3 linked regions of the Drosophila melanogaster genome follow. The protein of the gene in region 3 interacts with the protein of the main gene of each other region in a pairwise test. Each region holds a gene or a part of one and is shown on either strand. Other genes may lie near its edges.

Region 1 (4,470 bases), about 10 Mb from region 3:
CTGATGGCTTCGATCCGCCCGAGTTGCCGCTCATCGCCTATCTTGTATTCCCTGCACACGACCCACTACCGCCAACGCCACCGCCGCCGCCGCAAGCGCGAAAGAGATAGCGCACAGAAACTTTGAGCTTGACCGCCAAAGCTCGGCACGGAACGGAACGGTGAACGGTGAACGGTAAACGGTAAGGCAAGGTAGCGCCGGTGACGCAACGGACGTGCGTGCAGTCAGCTTCATTGAGCGAATGTATCGATGCACAGCTATCGTATCGATTGCTCGAGCTGGGTATCGAAGCGCTTCTGTAATACATCGATATCATTCTTCTTTACATATTAGATAGTGGACTAGAGAGGAAGCGATTTCTCATCGATTTTTTCGATAAATTTAAAAATATATATACCCATTTTAGTATCTTATTATGCTTTTAAAGCCTCAATGGATTATGATTCTTTTACCTTTCCGCCAAGTATCTAAGAAATGACAATTCATTGCAAGTAAATCTTCTGTTTAGTTCAAATATTTAATTATATTCAATACATTTGCATCAACGTGCTGGGGACTCTTAATTTAGTTTTAATTGACCGTCGTTTGTGGAATGTGACTATTCAACGCCAGTGTGTGTTTCGGTCTTCAGAACAGGTGAGTCTCCCACTAATCGTGTCATTGTGCTCAATTCATACTTCTAATAATTTTGCCTTCAATTCCACAAATTTTGATGATCCTGGTAAACAAATCAAATACAGTTGAGCTGCATACGCCCTGCACTTGACAATTTTCCTTTCGTTTCAATGGATTCTTCTGGTGTTTGGAAGCAAGCGTTGGTTCTGCATCCAGTTTCTGGTGAAGATTGGTAATGAGGACGACTAGCGCCAGCGCTCGTGCACTGCCGACTCGCGCATGATAATCTTCTGAAGTTTTTCCTGCTGGGTCATCTGATCCTGCTGGTTGGTGGCACTGTTTCCCTGGTGGTGAACCGGCTGCTGCGCCCGCTGAAAGTTGGGCAACGGCGCCTTCTTCTCGTGCGCCAGTTCCGTGAAGGCCAGCTTGCGGCGCTGCTGCGGCGGTATCTTCTTGCAGTAGCTCAGCAGATGGATGTGCAGCGTGCGTTCCAGGTCGAAGGAGCGATCGCAGTACTTGCACAAATGGACGGTGGTCAGGGTGGTTCTGCTCTCCCGCGGTCGCCGTGCACGGAAGCGCACCTTGAAGTCATCGTCGTGGGTGTGCCGGTGGGCGCCCAGCAGCGATCGGATGTGAAACTTGGCACCGCACACGCCGCACGAGTAGCTGGGCAGCTGCTGGTCCGTGGCATAGCTGCCCAGCGGCTTCAGCTGCAGTCGGCCAAACGGTCCGCCCTGATACTCCCCGCCATCTCCTTCATCATGATCGGGCTTCGTCGTTCCGTTGGAGGCTTGCTGTGCGGCCATAATGGCTTCCATTTCCGCTGCCTCGGCCTCGGCCTCGTAGTTCCGGGGCGTGAGGCCATTGCGACGAGGAGATAGCAATACTGTTGGAGAATGGAGAATGGAGAATTGGTTAACTCAATATGAGATCTTAAATTAATATCACTTTTAATATACTATATTAATCAGTTAAGTACTATATACCAAATTTGGTGTTAGTAGCTTTAATAAGGCCCAAGATCATATAGATAACAGGTGTCCAAATCGATTATATTTAATAACCTACAATTGTAATCGTTGTTTTAAAATAAATTGCACTTGAAACTTATGTTTCGTGATTTATATGAGTATAATAAACCAATAAAGTACTGTACACCAAATTTGGTGTCTCTTGCCTAACTAAGCACCAAGATCATATAGAAAGAAGGGTCTTAAGTAGATGATATATGTAATGATGATAAATATATACTGCTGTTTCAAGATTTTAAAGAGTTCTAATAACCAATAACGTATTGTATACCAAATTTGGTGTCTCTAGCTTGAATAATACCCAAGATCATATAGAAAGGTGCATCCCAAATCGACGATATGCAAATGTATTTGTAACTTACGATTGCAACTGCTGCGTCTTCTGTTATCGTAGTTGTTCGTCTTCTCCAGCGGCGAACTCTCCTCCTCGTCGGTCTCTTCCTGAGCTGGAGCGTGTAGCAGACTCCTCTTGCTGCGCCTGCGACGCTCACCATGGGCATGGCCAGCCATGCTCGATCCTTCCCGCCCTGCTCCTCCGCCTGCGCCAGCCGTGCTTCGCTTGGCCGCCCGAGTGGATGCACTGGCTCTGTTCGACTCGGACAGGTAGATCAGCTTGCGCTCCACCGCCCTGCGCGCGTTCTCCACCTGAGCCTCCACGAATTCCTGCGGCTGAATCCTGGAGCATCCGGTCCGCTTGGCGCGCTTCACCTTGATGGGCTTTTGCGGCTTGTTCATCTCGTGTGTGGTGTGCGTGTGTGTTTGTGTATGTGTAGCGTGTCTTATTAATTTTCAATGCTATTTTTTTAATTTCAGTTTGTAGTCAGTCGGTGTCGAAGGAATACTGAATCTAAGGGTGATGCTTAAATATATACCAATGAAACTAAGCACATCGCCTGCTGGGCAGGGAAATTTTAAATGTTGAAGTAAAAAACATTTTTCCAATCTTATATTTCATTTCGAATTTTTCGATTTTTAAACAATTTAACAATAAACAACAATTTAAACAAAAAACGCTTCTTAAAATATTTCAGGATTTGCTATTTAAAAAAAAATATATTTTTTTTAATTGATGATTTGTAATATATGTAGTTTTGACAAAAAATATTCTATTTAATGATTTTAGGATAGATAAGTTTGTGCTGTAATCGAATCAACTTATTTTAACTTATTTGAACTTGTTTAAAACAAAAAACAAACAAGATCAACTTTACGCAATCAAGTGACATGAACATTTTTATTTAAAAAAAAAAAAAAACGATAAAATTAGCTAATAAATTGTAGTGCAGTTAATATTACTAACAGTGGCCAGCATTCGTGTGTTGATTGTTGTTAATAAATTATAAATTATACACTTTACATGTCCGCCAGCCCAGTTATCAACCACGGTTTGAGTTCGCACTAGCGCACGTTTTCCCACCACGCGACGAACGGTCACATTGACCACCGCGTGCGAATTTTTTTTTTGGCCAGCAGCGCAGAAAAAGCAGCTGAAAGCTGGAAAAGACAGCATAAATCGCCGTGTCGATTCGAGACGATTGAAACGCCGCGCGCCCGCCTTTTGCAGTGGACTGTCAACCGTTTGCCGTTTTTCATTTTTGGCCATCGAGCACGGAATATGAGTGATACGCGTGAGCAGATTCTGGAGCAAATCAAAGTGCAAGGCGATCTCGTCCGTCAATTGAAAGCAGCGAAGGAGTCGAAGGAGAAGGTCAGTTTTTGGTCGTACTTCCAGTTGGAAACCGACTCCCTCCCTCCACCCAGCACTACCACTTCCACCATCCAACCCCCCCACCCGTCAGCAACGCGTCCGCCTTCCAGTGTCATCCCCCTTTGTGTGTGTACAATGGAATAAGTGCAATTGTTGCCGTAATTCCCGGCCCTGCTTTCGTCATCAAATTCGAAATCCCACTCGCATACATATTTCATCAGATCGTCATGCAGTTGAGAATAAGGGAAATAACAAAAAACACACACATGCTGCGCTGGCATTTGGAGTTGTTCGAAATCTTCGTTTTTGCAGTGTAATAATTAGATGAATGTAACATCGGAAGAGCGGTGCAAAGGAAAAACGGCAAATTAAAGGAGCGCGCAGACTTTCACATTTACATTCGCATTCGCACATTCGTGCCACTCTGTTGTTATTGTTGTCTCGCTCTGGCCAACGGCAAATGCACTGCTTCTGTGTGCGTGTGTGTTAGTGTTGTGCACAGTGATGCCAAACTATTGTCCCGACTATTTGGCTGGAAAGTAGCTTAAATTAGCAGTGCTGTCCGAAGCTGTGACTAATAGAAGCAATTGTTTATATTAATCTCTTGCTGATGTAAGTCTACTGATGCTCACTTCAAATCTTTGGCTGGATTTCCTTGAAACTGTGCTGAAAACAGTTGGAGACTTCTAGAAAACTCAATAATCTTTTGTGTTAATAAGACCTTAAAGTGATTTTTCCTGTACTCTTTGATGTTCTAGACGCTGTCCAATTAGAACAAGTATTGTACAGGTATTAAATAATCCAATTGGGATACTTAGGATATCTTTCAGATTTGAAGTTGAAGCTTGCATGTTCAGTAATCGAAAAAAGATTTAATTTCATAATTTTAGATTTAGATTTAATTAAAGTCAAGTAGCTAAATGAGACTAATAGCTGGATTTGCATCACCAAAGTGAGTGCTCTATGACCGACTGACTGACTGAAAAGAGAGCGACTGGTCAAACAGGAGGCATGTACAAAAGGCACATGGTGGTTATAGCGATTATATCAAAAACCTGCTAGACCACAATCAACCGATCCAAGACTTGACGACTGCAACATGTGATTTGGGCTATG
Region 2 (5,171 bases), on a different chromosome or scaffold from region 3:
AAATATAACAAAAATTTACAATAATTGTTGAAATTTCAGCTCTGGATGCTAGCGTACTGGAAAAGAGTGCTGATCTCGTCGAGGAGGAGCCCAAGCCGAAGATGAGTGTGATGGAGGAGCAACTCATGACCTCCGCTTTCTACAGACTGGGTGTCAATGCCCAGCGTGATGCAATCGACTCTAAGCTGGCAATATTGATGGGCTCTGGCCAGACATTCCTTGCCCGCCAGCGGCAGTCCGCGCCCCGCAAATCCCTAAGTGCAATGAAATCAAAGTAGAAAGCATGAACCTGAAGAGTAGGCTAAGTCTCATTTCTTGTTTGAAAACTTATATAACTAATATATAATACAAGTATTTATTGGACCTCCGCAAGGATCTATATCGTATTTATAGTACATACCTTAATAAAATTGCTAAAATGATTCAATAGAATTACCAAAAACAAGAACGTAATTTTTCCCGTACCCCGACCACTTTCAAAACAGAATTCAAGTTTTTTTGTAAATATTTTTGCTTTATGTATTGAATTAAATACATTTAACGCAGAGTTCAGGGCAAAAACAAATGCATACATAAATGAAAGGGTAGCTCTCCTTGGCTCTGGAACCCATCTTGTAGAGAGTCTTGGGCGTTGGCACAGGTTGGAAATGCAATTTGGAGAGATGCAGGAGCTACACAGACGAGCGGTAATAACAATAGGTGTCATCCTCTACTTGGCGATCAGTGGGGGCAGCAAACCGCCGGCTGCCGGCTGGTTCTCCCCTAACTAACTGGTGGTGTCTACATACTTAGTACGTAGGATCTCTGACCTAACGGCTCACCAGGGTCGCCACATGCTCTCATCTTGCCCAGCTGCTGCTGCAGCAGCTGCCGCCTGGGCCATGTAGTGATACTCCTCCTCCTGGCGTTGCCTTAGAGCCTGACGAGCGGCGTTGCTTGTCTGGGGTCGCGGACTGGTCGCCGGAGCCTCGTTCTCATTGGAACCGATGCCACTCTCGGATCTTGGTGAGGATTGCTGCGTGGCGGGCATGGACTTCAGTTCCGACATCGAGACGCCGGAACTGACAGACGCTGCCACCGAGGCAGGTCTCTCTTGGTGCACCGTTGGCGTTCCGGCACCGGAAGTAGCCATTGCCGCAACTGAGGCTCCTGCTGAAGCGGCCACAGCCATGCTGTTGGCATAAGCCGCTGCTGCGGCAGCGACATGGGCAGCCTCCAAGCCTCCCGGAAAACTGGGACTCAACTTGCCGGCCAAATGTGGTTGAACCCGTTGCAACTCTATCAACCGCTCAAAATCCGTTCGGGTAGCAATCGGATCCACCAGCGGCTGGGCACTAAGGCCAAGGGCCGCTGCCAGCTGGACATAGTGGGGCGGCAGGACCAGGACTCCGTTGGCGGACTCTGGTTGCTGCTGCACGTGCGCCTTAAGCTGTTGCTTGTACTGCTCCAGGACATTGGCGCACACCTTGTTGCGATCCTCCTCGTAGCTCAGCTCGCTGGGAGCGACGGCATCTACATGCGGCGACGTCTGGCCTTGTGTCTGGCTTTGCACCTGTATTGGTATCGGAGTTTGCGCCTGCGCCTGGAGTCCACGATTGTTGTTCTCATCCTGGGGTGCTGGCGTGACGGGCAGCGTCCTCTGCTCAGCGGCTACCATTTTCAGACCCTTGCTGTAGTCCACTGGATTCGAATCCTGGCTGCTGTAGTCCAGCGAATGCTCCTCGGGCTGCGACTTCTTCCCGTGATTCAGGTCGAAGCAACTGCTACTGCTGGGGCTTTCGGCAAACGCGGCCGTCGAATGGGGACAGATCTCCACGTCGATCTCGGCTATGCACTGGTCCAGGTGGCGCAGCAGTCGCGCCTTGGAGCCGGGCTCCGCCAAGGTGGGCATGGTGCCCATGGGCGGCGGTTCCGGGGTGGCCAGGTAACGAGCCACCTCGCGAGCGCAGTCCGTGTAACCAGCTCTGTATTTGTTAACCGCTGAAAGAAAATCAGGATTTGAATGTTATTATCTAAGTTTCAATATAAGAAGTTTGCCTAGGTCCTAAATTTAATGAATTTTATTTTAGATACAGATATGTTCTTCAAGATGTATTTATAAAATTACATTTTGTAGCGAAAATGTAAAGTCATAATACGAAAATTTTTACTTTTATATGGAAACTTACTGGGATCGTCGAGATTGCGATGCCGCTGAAAGTGGCGAACGGTTAGCTCCAGGATGTCCGCCTTCTCCAGCTTGGTGTGCTTCGCCTGGCCCTCGCCGTTCTTGGCATTTTGGGTCTTGGTGGACTCGAGGATGAGGGCCTTCAGGATGGCCAGGCTCTGGTTGATTCGCGCCCGCCGGCGCTTCTCCATGAGTGGTTTGTTTGTCCGCTTGCTGATGTCCTGCGACGAAGTCACATTCTGCGTTGAGCTCACCAGCCCGATGGACTTTATGCCGCTGCCATTAGTTGAGCCGGCGGCGGTGAATCCGATGCCTGGCGGAAATACAGAAGGGTCAATAATTAATACAATTATCGCTATAACCTGAAAGTTTTTTGTAATTTAATCATTTATAAACAAAGTTATCTCGTTCGTTTCAGAACTTTTTGAAGTTGAAATTCTCATGTTCAGTTTTTCAAGTTACATTATTTTGCTTATTATCAATTTTTTGTTGATTCAACGAACTTCGGTTTTAAAATTAAACATCTATATCTATATATCATCAAACTCAAATGAAATTCTTTTGAGTTGAGGTTGCGAGTTCCGAGTTGTGAGCATAATGGAGCTTCATGTTTAGTTTCAAGACACTTTGGTGCTTTTATTTCATTTTGCTTTTTGTTTAAGATTATTATAAAAGTAATCAAAAAAATTTTTTATTGTTTGAAAATTATTTAATTTGATACTTCTTGGCCACAGGTGGCTTTTTCTTTGCAAAAGTATGTTTTCTATTATTTTAACTTTTGTTTAATGGTCACTAAGTAAATATAAATATATTAAACAATGGTGAGCCATGTGGGACGTTTTTTTTTTGTGGAAACTTGTTTTCTATAATTTTGTTTGCCAAATATTTATTAGTCACATTTCACTTTAGAAGTTTAGGACACGTTTAAAAGAGCAGCTTATCATTTTGAACTTCTAAGTCCTATTTTCTGATAGAATTCAACTTATAAAGCACAAACTTGTTTATTACCAGGTGCTGATTTATTTTTTGAGTAATCCTTATCACGTTTTGCTGTCATTTTCTCATTTTTACGAAATCCAAAAGAATTCGTTGCCCGTCGTCAATTAGAATGAAATGCCTCGTTTTCTCAATTTGGCTTGATTTGGGTTTAATATTTTCGAAACTTTCAGTTTAGAATCCACCCGCCAACAATCACGTCTTTTTGGTGGTGGAATCAGGATTCAAATTCCACTCGACGAGGAGGACACGCGTCCGTTCTGTTCGAGGATTCACGGCTAACTGACGGCGAGCAGCGAAACAATTGCGACTTTTCACTTCGTCGCCTGTCGGCTGTCTGGCTGGCAATGGGGTTTTCCGATTTTCCGCTGCCGCGTGCGCTTGGCTTGTGCAAAATTTCCCGACTGAAATGCTTGGTTAGCTCATGTTGCTGCTGCTGCTGCTGCTTTTGCTGTTGGCAGTGGCACGAGCCATCGTCGTGTGGCGCAGCAACCAAAGCAGATTGGAGTCAACCGACAATAAAAGGAACAACAACAAAAACATCAGCGACAGCAGCAGCAACAACAACAATAGCAACAACAACAGCTCTAGCAATCAGCAGGAGCGGCAACAGCAACAAAGCCTGTGGATGTGGCAGCAACAGCAACGCCTGGCTGCCTGCCACGTTAATGGTGGTTGTGGTAATGGTTGCCCCACCGACCTCCACACACATACACAAACACACATAGATTTGGCGAAGAGCTTAACGACGCAGCGGAGGCATGTTGCCAGTGGGCGTTGGGTGGATGGGCCCGTGGGCGGAGGGAGGGGGCTGAGTGTAGCAAGGGGATGAGGGATTGGTGGCGCGCTGGCTGCGGCAAATGTCAGGCAGCCCAAGCGACAAGCCGGATCGACGTGCCGCCATTTGGACGGACGGCGTGACCATGTCTGGCTTTCACACACACACACACACACACACTGGCACACCCTCAGTCACAGACACAGGAACTCACTCATACACAGGCATACAAATCAATTCGCTTAGGCGCAAATATGAAACAACCCAGCACACATGGCGGATGAGGGTTATTTTGGCAGAAAATGCAAAGCATACTTTTCAGGGCATGGTGTAGGCTAACAATTTAATTGATTAACTAAAGCAGGCTAAATGAATAACTTATTATTAGATTGCAAGACTTAATTAGTTTTTATTTTAAGCAAAATATTTATTTGATTCCAAATCATTCATATTACCTTTTTTTCTCGCCACAACAAACTGTCGACCGAAAACGTGCTGCACACTTTGTTCACTGGGTGGACTGCGTCAACGGCGGGTTAGCCGGAGCCGGGATCTGGTACGGGGTTGTGGCCTGCGGGCGACGAAGCAGCTCCTGCTCCTTCGACCGACTGGCTGTGGGTCGTGCGGGGTCAGTGGGGGTGGGATGGCTGAATGGATGGATGGATGAGCGGGCGTGTGGGTGTTTGCTGTCGCTGACTTTGCCATTCGGCTGCCCGCATCGAAATCATAACACCAACGAGGCGAAACTTCTGCGGCGCAGCAGTCGTGGCAAATAATAAGCCAGGCCAGCGGAAAACGGAGGAGGGAGCCAGCGAGGAGCAGGAGCAGGAATGGTAGGAATGGCAGTAGTGGCTGGATCCAGACGAAGACAACTGTGACAGCGGCAGCAGAAAGGACTATTAGATAAATACGATTGCTGGTGCGAGTTTTTGGGGGCGCAATGCCGTGGCAACAAAGTTGATGGCTACAAATTGGCAGGGATGTGGGCGGGCACACATCCACATCAGCGGCGGCTTAACAAGGTGCGCAACGCATTGCAATTCCCGTCGATTTAAACAGTCCAAATGCGGCCAACAACAAGTGCCCCAAACTGCGTGCCATACAATATGGAAATTCCACATTGCTGCAGTGCGCCCACATGTGGCGGGTTCACAGGACTCCGACACTGCGTGTATCCAAAACCAATCGAATTTGTACGTAACATAATGCGTCACAAGGTTGGCAGGATAA
Region 3 (8,023 bases):
GTTCGCTGCAACTCAGGCCAAAGTTGCTGGTTGCTGCCGTTCGCTCCTTGAGTTGCTGCTGCTGTTGCTGTTGCTGCTGCAGTTGCTGCTGCTGCTGCTGCTGCTGCTGCTGTTGCTGCTTCATGCGCGCCTGACTTTCGTGACTCATGGAGGACATGCTGCTGCCACCGCCAGTGGTTCTATAATGTCAAACAATGGCAATTTATAAAAATATATATACAATATATAACTAACATGAAGCAACATTTACAGCTTAAATCTACAGCGAATGCTGCTCAGTTGGCCAAGTGTAAAAACGTGCAATATTATAAATATTAGTGTTATGATTTGTAACATAACCAGGCCGAAAGCCATAAGCCAAACACTCGGAGAAAAGAAATGAAAATTATTTGAAGTATTTCCTCGTAATAAACAAGTTGCCTAAGCACCACGATCGTAAACAAAATTGGGGAATTTGTTTACACTATGCTACCAAGTCGCGGCCTGGCAAGTTCGACAAATATGAAAAGCCCTTCGAATAAATTGTTTATGCCGCCCGGCACATCTGTCAGTCCACCCATCACCATCATCATCAGTAGTCCCATTCCCATTCCCATTCCCATTCCCTAAACCATTCCCATTTCCATTTCCATTCCAGCTTCACATTCTCGGCATTTTGAAGTTCTTTTGTTTTTGAGTTATTGTTGCGTTATTTGAAGTTTTTCAATATTTTCCGGGAATATCTATGCCGAATGTCGACCGAATGTCTAGCTCCACTTTGGACATTTGTGTATTTCAAGTTTTGAAAAGTGGGTCAATTTGTTTATCATTTGTTATTATTATTACATATTTACATTTATACTACTTCTAGACGTTCGAAAATTGTGTACTATTATTATTATATATATTTTGAAATTTATTCATTCAGCATTTTGAAATGCTCGTGTCAAAAATCTAGAACTAATTTTAAGCACATGTTTTTTTTTTTTTTAACACAATGCTAGACAATCAAATTACTTTGCCACATTTTCGCAGACAAATGAAATCGCATTAAAATATAGTTGCAAGCTGATTTCAGCTTTCATAGTTAATAGGTAAAAATAAAAAAAAATTAAAATAACAAAAAGATTTGGAACTACTTACACATCGTTGGTGCCATCATCCCGAAAGCCTTTGGCGAATGGATTGCTGGAGATCTTCAGCTGTGTCACCTGCAAGACGGCCGGAAAATTGGTGGAAAATATTTTTATTCGACTGGAAAAGCGCTTGAGGCATGCCGACAAGCTGGCGGGCCAAACAAATAAATTAAATACCCAACAAATTAGTGAAAAAAAAATTAAAAAAAAAAAAAAATAATAAAAGAAAATATGTTTATGTGGCATATGTGGCATTCCGCTGGCGGCGGGGTAAAAATGATTTGCGATAAATTCGAGGGCGGGTGGAAAAAGTGTTAACACCCCCACATAAATAATTTAAATACTTGCCCCAACGATGTCTATGGTTATATTTTTAGCCACCCACAAAATTCCCTCCCCCCTCCCCCTCCCCCTGGCCATCATTATGAATCACAACCAAGACAAAAAAATGTGGAAAACCGAGGGTATACAATGTACATATGTATGTCGAGAGTTCTTTCAACTTGCGATTAGATATGCTGTTCACTGTTCATTACTAATATCAATGCACCCACCTGATATCAATCCCACCTGATAATCTTATCTTCCCCATTTTTCGAATGAAAGCCACAGTGCATTGGAAACGTGGTTTCTAAAATCTTGTGTATTTGTGTATGCTACTTTTTTATTTTTAATATTTTTTTTTTCGGGTTAGAGTATCTGCATGGTCTGTGCTCGCATTTCCAATTGCTGTTATATATACATATATATATTCGCTATGGTTGAAATTGTGCTAGCTTTGGCCGCCGTTTGTTATAAATTATGGGAAAAACATAAACAATAAGGCCAAAATGGCACAAAATGGTCGCGGCCTTTTTGGCCGCTTCGAATGCCAAGATGAACTTATTGATAATACATATAAATCATTATGGTAAATGTTTACAAATAGCAACCAGCATATTTCGATTAACAATATATATCATATATTAACAATATATATATCATATATATATCATGCTCACCCGCTGATTCTGGTAGGCAGTTACGGCCGTAAAGCTCGTTTCCGGAAAGATGAAAGTGCGAAAGTGGCTGGAGTGCTCGTTCTCATCCAAGGAGGCGTTCTTCGGTGGCAGATAAACCAGATGGAAACGCGGCTGGTAGCGATGCATGGAGTTCAGAATGATCTGGAGATGAAGAGGCAGGATTTGAATATACCTATTTATCTATCTATCTAACTATCTATATATCTATCTATCTATCTATATAAGTAATGAAACGTACATGTCCATTTTCGTCCAGCTGGTTATTGGTGAGCTTCAATTTGTCAAAGGACACGATCTGCTTCATCCAATTGGAGCCGACGGCTGGCGAGTCGGGATGCACATGAATCCTGGGCGGGGAAATGGGATCCGCCTTGCCAGCCACCACCCAGCAGGAGCTGTTGCAAATTGAAGTGCATCATTTTCATCGAATTCCATGTGGCCATGGCTTTTTAACATTAACTTACTTGTGAAAGGCGTAGCGATAGCGTTTGTCATCCATGGGCACAAAGTCCATCATGCAAATGTAGGTGGCATGTGGATCCAAACCACCGATCCTCACCTGAAACGTGGGAAACATGCGTCGGCCCGTCTTGGTGATGATCATTTCGGTGCCCTGGGCATGGAACTGATCCCACAGCGCCTTCGTCTCCAGCACCACAATGGCCTGGGCCAGCGATGGATGCACTGGCTCCGATTCCTTAATTATCAATTGGAAATCATATATTTTAAATGATCTATTATTTATTTCGTTTCCCATCGTTGAATTTACTTACACCTTTGCTGATATTATGGCTATTGGGCTTCACTGTACCGTTCTCCGCACTGTTGTTGTCTTTTTTGTGCTGTCCCTTGAACTTTTTGGACGCGGTGGATGCACTGACTCCGCCAGCTGATGTCGTTGTGACTGCCGTGCCGCCGGCTGTTGGTGCCATCGAGGCTTCACTGTGTACGCCGGCATAATCGGTTGGCAGCGATACGGACGACGATGACGACGACGACGACTGATCCGGGCAACTGGGATTCGAGATGCTGCTGGTGCTGCTGTTGCTGTTCGCGGTGCCAGTGCTGCCTGTACTGTGCGTCTCGATGTCCGCCAATTTGGCATCGATCTGCTCCAGCGGCTTGTACGAGCTGCGATCCTTGCCAGCCGTTTGGATGCAGGCTGCAGTGAAGCACAAGTTGGTGTTACAGTGCGGGTTAAAGTGGAGGTTAAGGTGTGGGTTAAAGTTGTGGTTAAAGTGCTGGTTAAAGTGGTGGTTAAAGTGCGGGTTAAAGTCGCGGTTAAAGTGGCGGTTAAGTAGTAAAAGTAATGTAACATAAAATGCTGCTCATTAAAAGTGAAGAATGATCAAGTAATCCATGTGGCTATGTAAAATATGTAAAAAATCTATACAAAACTCGATTTACTTTAAAGAAAACTATAGTTTGGATATCCCTATAAACTATCCTTATCCCTTTATAAACTAATTAATAATGAAGATATCTCAATTCAAGCCCCTGTATTTTTTCATATCCCACTGACAAATGGGCGGAAAATATGCGACTATAAATCAAACACGTAGCGCGTATAAATTCTATAGCAAGTGAATGGGTTTTATATATATAAAATATATATGCATGTATATAGCTGCTGGGATTTGCTAATTTCATACTCAATGTGATTTATGCGATTTAAATGAGAAAGTGGGGCAGAAAGCACGTAGACGCCACGCCGGCGCAGATTTCTCACTTCTGGAGCTCGCAGTTCACAGTTCTGAATTCTGATTAAAGGAGTCTTGTAATAATATCACTTGATGATATATCCACACACCGACTTCTTTTTTTTTGTTTTTTTTGTTTTTTGTACGTTTCGAGTTGCGAGTTTGGGGCAAATGGGACAACATGTCCAATTATAAAAGAGGCGTCTGAGTAGCGGCGGCTGCTGATTGAGTTGCATGCTCTAAATTTAGGATCTCCCCTTTTCGGGGGATGCCTGTAAAATGGTATGGTATGGTATGGTATGGGATTGCATGGGATGAGATGAGATTTTCAGCAATTAATTGTCACTGGGCTCGCAGTTGCGGGAATTGCCGCAATGGCAATCAATGCCGCGAATGACCCATGACAGGTCATTTAGCCGCTTTAGCGCTAAATAGTTGCCCATTTTCCTCGATTTTTTTTTTTTAGCATTTTTTGCTGCACGAATGAATTCTAAAATCAATTAACGTTTGGCACAACAAATCGTTTTTCTGTCACATGCACAACATCAAACAACAACAAACACGAGAGAAATGCCACTTGAAATCTCGGGGATCCGGGAATTCTGAGCTAATTGATCGGGTTTTCTGGTTTTCTGATCTTTTGGTTTTCCGATTCTCTGGTTTTCAGTTTCTCAGTTTCTCAGTTTTTTTTTTTTTAAACTTTTGGATGTCATTTGTGCCGCCGCTGCCATGCTCGGTGTATTTTGCTAATTACTCTATCGCAAACGGATTCCATTTCAGTTTTTTGGGTCACTTGCAGGCAGACAAATGATATGGAATATATACATTTGTTTGCTAGCAAAATTCCATTGCCTGATTTTTGAACAAAAAACATAATATCGAATAGTCAAATGGAAAATATGACTTTTTTGTTGCTTCGCCTTTTGTTTGCTACGCGATACTTCTTTGATAAATATTTAAAGCATATATTTGAATTTAAGAAGTTTTAGTTGTACATTCGATTGAACTGAAAGGTAAAGCTAATAAAATCTTGGAAAAATATGTTTAACTAGTAGTATGCTAATATAAACTAAAAGCCTATTTTCTAGTTTAAGTTTTGAAACAGATAGTAAAAAAAAAATATACTTTACAGGACTTAAAAGTCTAAACAAAAGTAAAAGTTCATGCAAAAGTTATAACATATTAAAAATCTACTTGTATGCTTGTTTGCGACTTTTAAAGGTACACAACCTAATATCTTAATATCCGATTTAAAATACTCCGCGGTAGAGTTGCCTAATCCTCTCCAGCTTAAGTCAACTCAAACGACTCACCTTCGATCTGCTTCATGGGACTGAGTCCGCCGGTCATGTACGGCGATGTCCAGTAGTCGTTGCCATAGCAGTTGTAGTCCGTTAGGCTGGTGTCCAGGAACTGCATGGATGTGGTGGTCATCATGGCGCCGGCGCACTCAGTGGGGCCCATCAGGTGCGTCATGGCGAGCGTGATCGTTGGAATATATATATATATGATATATATATATGATGGCTGGATATGTGATGCTCACAGTGGAAGAAAGGAAATCGCAGCGAGTTCTTGGCCCATTTATTCCATTTATTCCGGCACAATTTGTTTTGATCTCGAACGTTATTCGCGCAGTTGTCAAATTTGATTATTGCACCCACACACAATCACTCACTCATTCACTCACTCACTCACTCACTGTGCACTGCAAAAAAAAAGTATGTAGTGGTGCGAAAATCCAACGCCAACCTTTCGCTGTTGTCAATCAGAATCGAGATCGAGTTCAAGAATCGAATGAAAAATCAAATTAATTCTCTTCGAATTGTTTTTATGGCCCGATCGCGTTGACTGGCGAAAATTTGCCCGATTGTAGTTTTTTGTTTTTTGTTTTTTTGTTTTTTGTTTTTAATTCCCTGTGTTAGCTGATTGATTGACTTGAACTTCTTTTATTTGTTTTCTTTCTAATTCGACTGGCAGAAAGCGTTGAGTTGTCTCAATTGCCACCTTCTTCCGGCCAAGTGCGAACTGATTATCCCGTATAGTATCCTATGTTTATATCTCGCGGATATATCGATCTGATCTGATTTCGAATGCGATCTCTGGATGCCTAGATCTCTGATCACGCACACATCCGTTCCGTCAAGCGCTGGTCCGCCGAATGAGAACAACTACTGCTGCGGCTGCTGCTGCTGCTGCTGCTGGGCAGATGCATCGCTGCCTCTCGAGATCCCAAGATGCCGCATTGTACGGACCATCTCCCCAAATCGAGAAATCTATCCGCCAATCGCCGGCCGCAGCATCCAAATTTAGACTCGCCAGCCGCACCAATCGATCCACCAATGGCCGCACGGCCACCTCCTCCTCCTCCATCTCCTCCTCCTCCTCCTTCTCCTTCTCCTCCTTCTACTCCTCCTTGGATCGCACCGACATGTGTTGGCTCGCCTGGGATCTAGCCTAGTATCAAGTGGATGAATATGCCGCGCAGAATTGAGCGTAGGGTGCGCGCAAGGCATTTACCAGATGTGGCTACAGTGAGGCCTAGAACTTGGTGAACACTTGGGGTTTGCTATCTGCAACTCTTTGTTTGGTTTTATGCAAACTATGCTTAACATAGTTATATTTATGTAATCTAATTTGATCATATTAATAACTTAATGCATGTAAATAGTATAGAGGTATCCTTTAGAGTATATAGATCACTGTACTCTCCACACGTTTCACTAATTTCTGCTCCACTGTTTACTTCTCTCTTGTTTTTTTTTTTTTTTTTGAAGGGGCGTGGTCTTTGACCATAAACAGCAGGCGGTGGAGAAGATCAAGAAGGAGGAGGAGCAGGTGATCCCCACTTTTGCATATTGTTTTCTTCATTCTCTTTTTTTTCAGGGGGGCGCGCTGATCAGTGGGCGTGGCCCGTGGAGTGGGTGGCCGACCAGAGTCATGGGCCTCATTTGGAAAACGCTTTTAATTGGACTGCCGCACGCATGGTGGTGCTGGTTGCTCGTGGATCTCGCGGTGCTCCGCTCAATGCTGCAGTGCAGCCGAGATGTTGCTGCTGCTGTTGGCCATAAATACAAATTGCGCCATAACCTCGACACTAAATAAACCGTAAAAAGGAAAACGGAATATTAAGACGTTGGCAAGGCGCACCCAAAAAATTCAATTCATTTGGAATAATCATAAGTTTTTGGAAAAAATTGCATTAAACATAAGAAATACGAAGAGAATATGAATTAATACTTAATACATAAAAAAAAGGATTACTGCTAATTTTTCATACGAAATTTGAATTAGCTGTGAGCAACATTTGCGCTCAGTGTAGCGGCGGCCACCACCTCCGCCACAAGAGGGAGTGAGATGGGCGGTCGAAAATGGCGTCTGTTGGCCATTGGAGCCCGGAATGTGGGCCCAGCGGAGATGGAGATCCGGGGAAGCCGAGAAAACTGGACCGATCAAAGTGAAACAGCCCGATTAACCGGGTGCGTCTGCTTTTCATCAGCCACGGCCATTCCAATTAGTGGGTACATACATATGTATACATATAGATGGTATATCTATTATATATAGCATGTAGTAGTATATGTTACCTGGCACACGGGGTCTCCAAGTGAATCGATTTGTTTACCCTCCCTCCTACTCACCCCTTCCATATAAATCTACGCATCCAGTTGCGTCCTGGATTTATGGAACAACTGCTTGTTAATGTTTTTCCCTGATTTTCGTTTGCCGCACTACTGTTTACAATTATTTTGAGTTAATTTTTTTTCCCCTTTTTTTTGGCATTTTCAGAAGCATTTCGATCGCAGCAGATCGTACCATGCAGTCCATAAATAATACATAAATTTGAAAAATTGTTATGGCATTGGCCATGCCATTTTAGTCGTTAATTATTTGTTTGAGTGTAAACAATTGGAAATGAAATGCTAACTGCTTCGAAGAAATTACTTAAATGATTCATAAATTCGATATTCGATCTTTTTTATCGATTATATAAATATTATATATAAATGAGTGTAATGCATTTGTTGTAAAATTTCCATCATGGACGAAATCGACTAAAGGTTTATTATTGTATCGTAAATTTAGATTCCAAATCGAAGCGTTTGGCTTAAAGGAATTTCGAAATTAAATGACGACTAAATATTTTTAATTTAAGATAATTTACAACAGTCTACTTCTCATTGTC

The links. The genes of interacting proteins can lie anywhere in the genome.
Region 1: the proteins of org-1 (region 3) and CG6470 interact in a two-hybrid assay, tested with the Drosophila melanogaster proteins (one large-scale study listed by BioGRID).
Region 2: the proteins of org-1 (region 3) and Sidpn interact in a two-hybrid assay, tested with the Drosophila melanogaster proteins (one large-scale study listed by BioGRID).

The regions. Positions count from the first base shown.
Region 1 is NC_004354.4:18,512,329-18,516,798, forward strand, and holds CG6470 (uncharacterized protein), read right to left. Parts: upstream 2,540-4,470; 5' UTR 2,382-2,539; coding exon 2,009-2,381; intron 1,502-2,008; coding exon 861-1,501; 3' UTR 501-860; downstream 1-500. Other genes in the region: HisRS (Histidyl-tRNA synthetase), read left to right, coding at 3,262-3,354.
Region 2 is NT_033779.5:19,026,110-19,031,280, reverse strand, and holds Sidpn (uncharacterized protein), read right to left. Parts: upstream 3,572-5,171; 5' UTR 3,225-3,571; coding exon 3,176-3,224; intron 2,481-3,175; coding exon 2,169-2,480; intron 1,981-2,168; coding exon 818-1,980; 3' UTR 501-817; downstream 1-500. Other genes in the region: hook, read left to right, coding at 40-278.
Region 3 is NC_004354.4:8,448,982-8,457,004, forward strand, and holds the start of org-1 (optomotor-blind-related-gene-1), read right to left. Parts: upstream 6,089-8,023; 5' UTR 5,314-6,088; coding exon 5,151-5,313; intron 3,300-5,150; coding exon 2,911-3,299; intron 2,835-2,910; coding exon 2,602-2,834; intron 2,533-2,601; coding exon 2,376-2,532; intron 2,279-2,375; coding exon 2,117-2,278; intron 1,191-2,116; coding exon 1,123-1,190; intron 180-1,122; coding exon 1-179.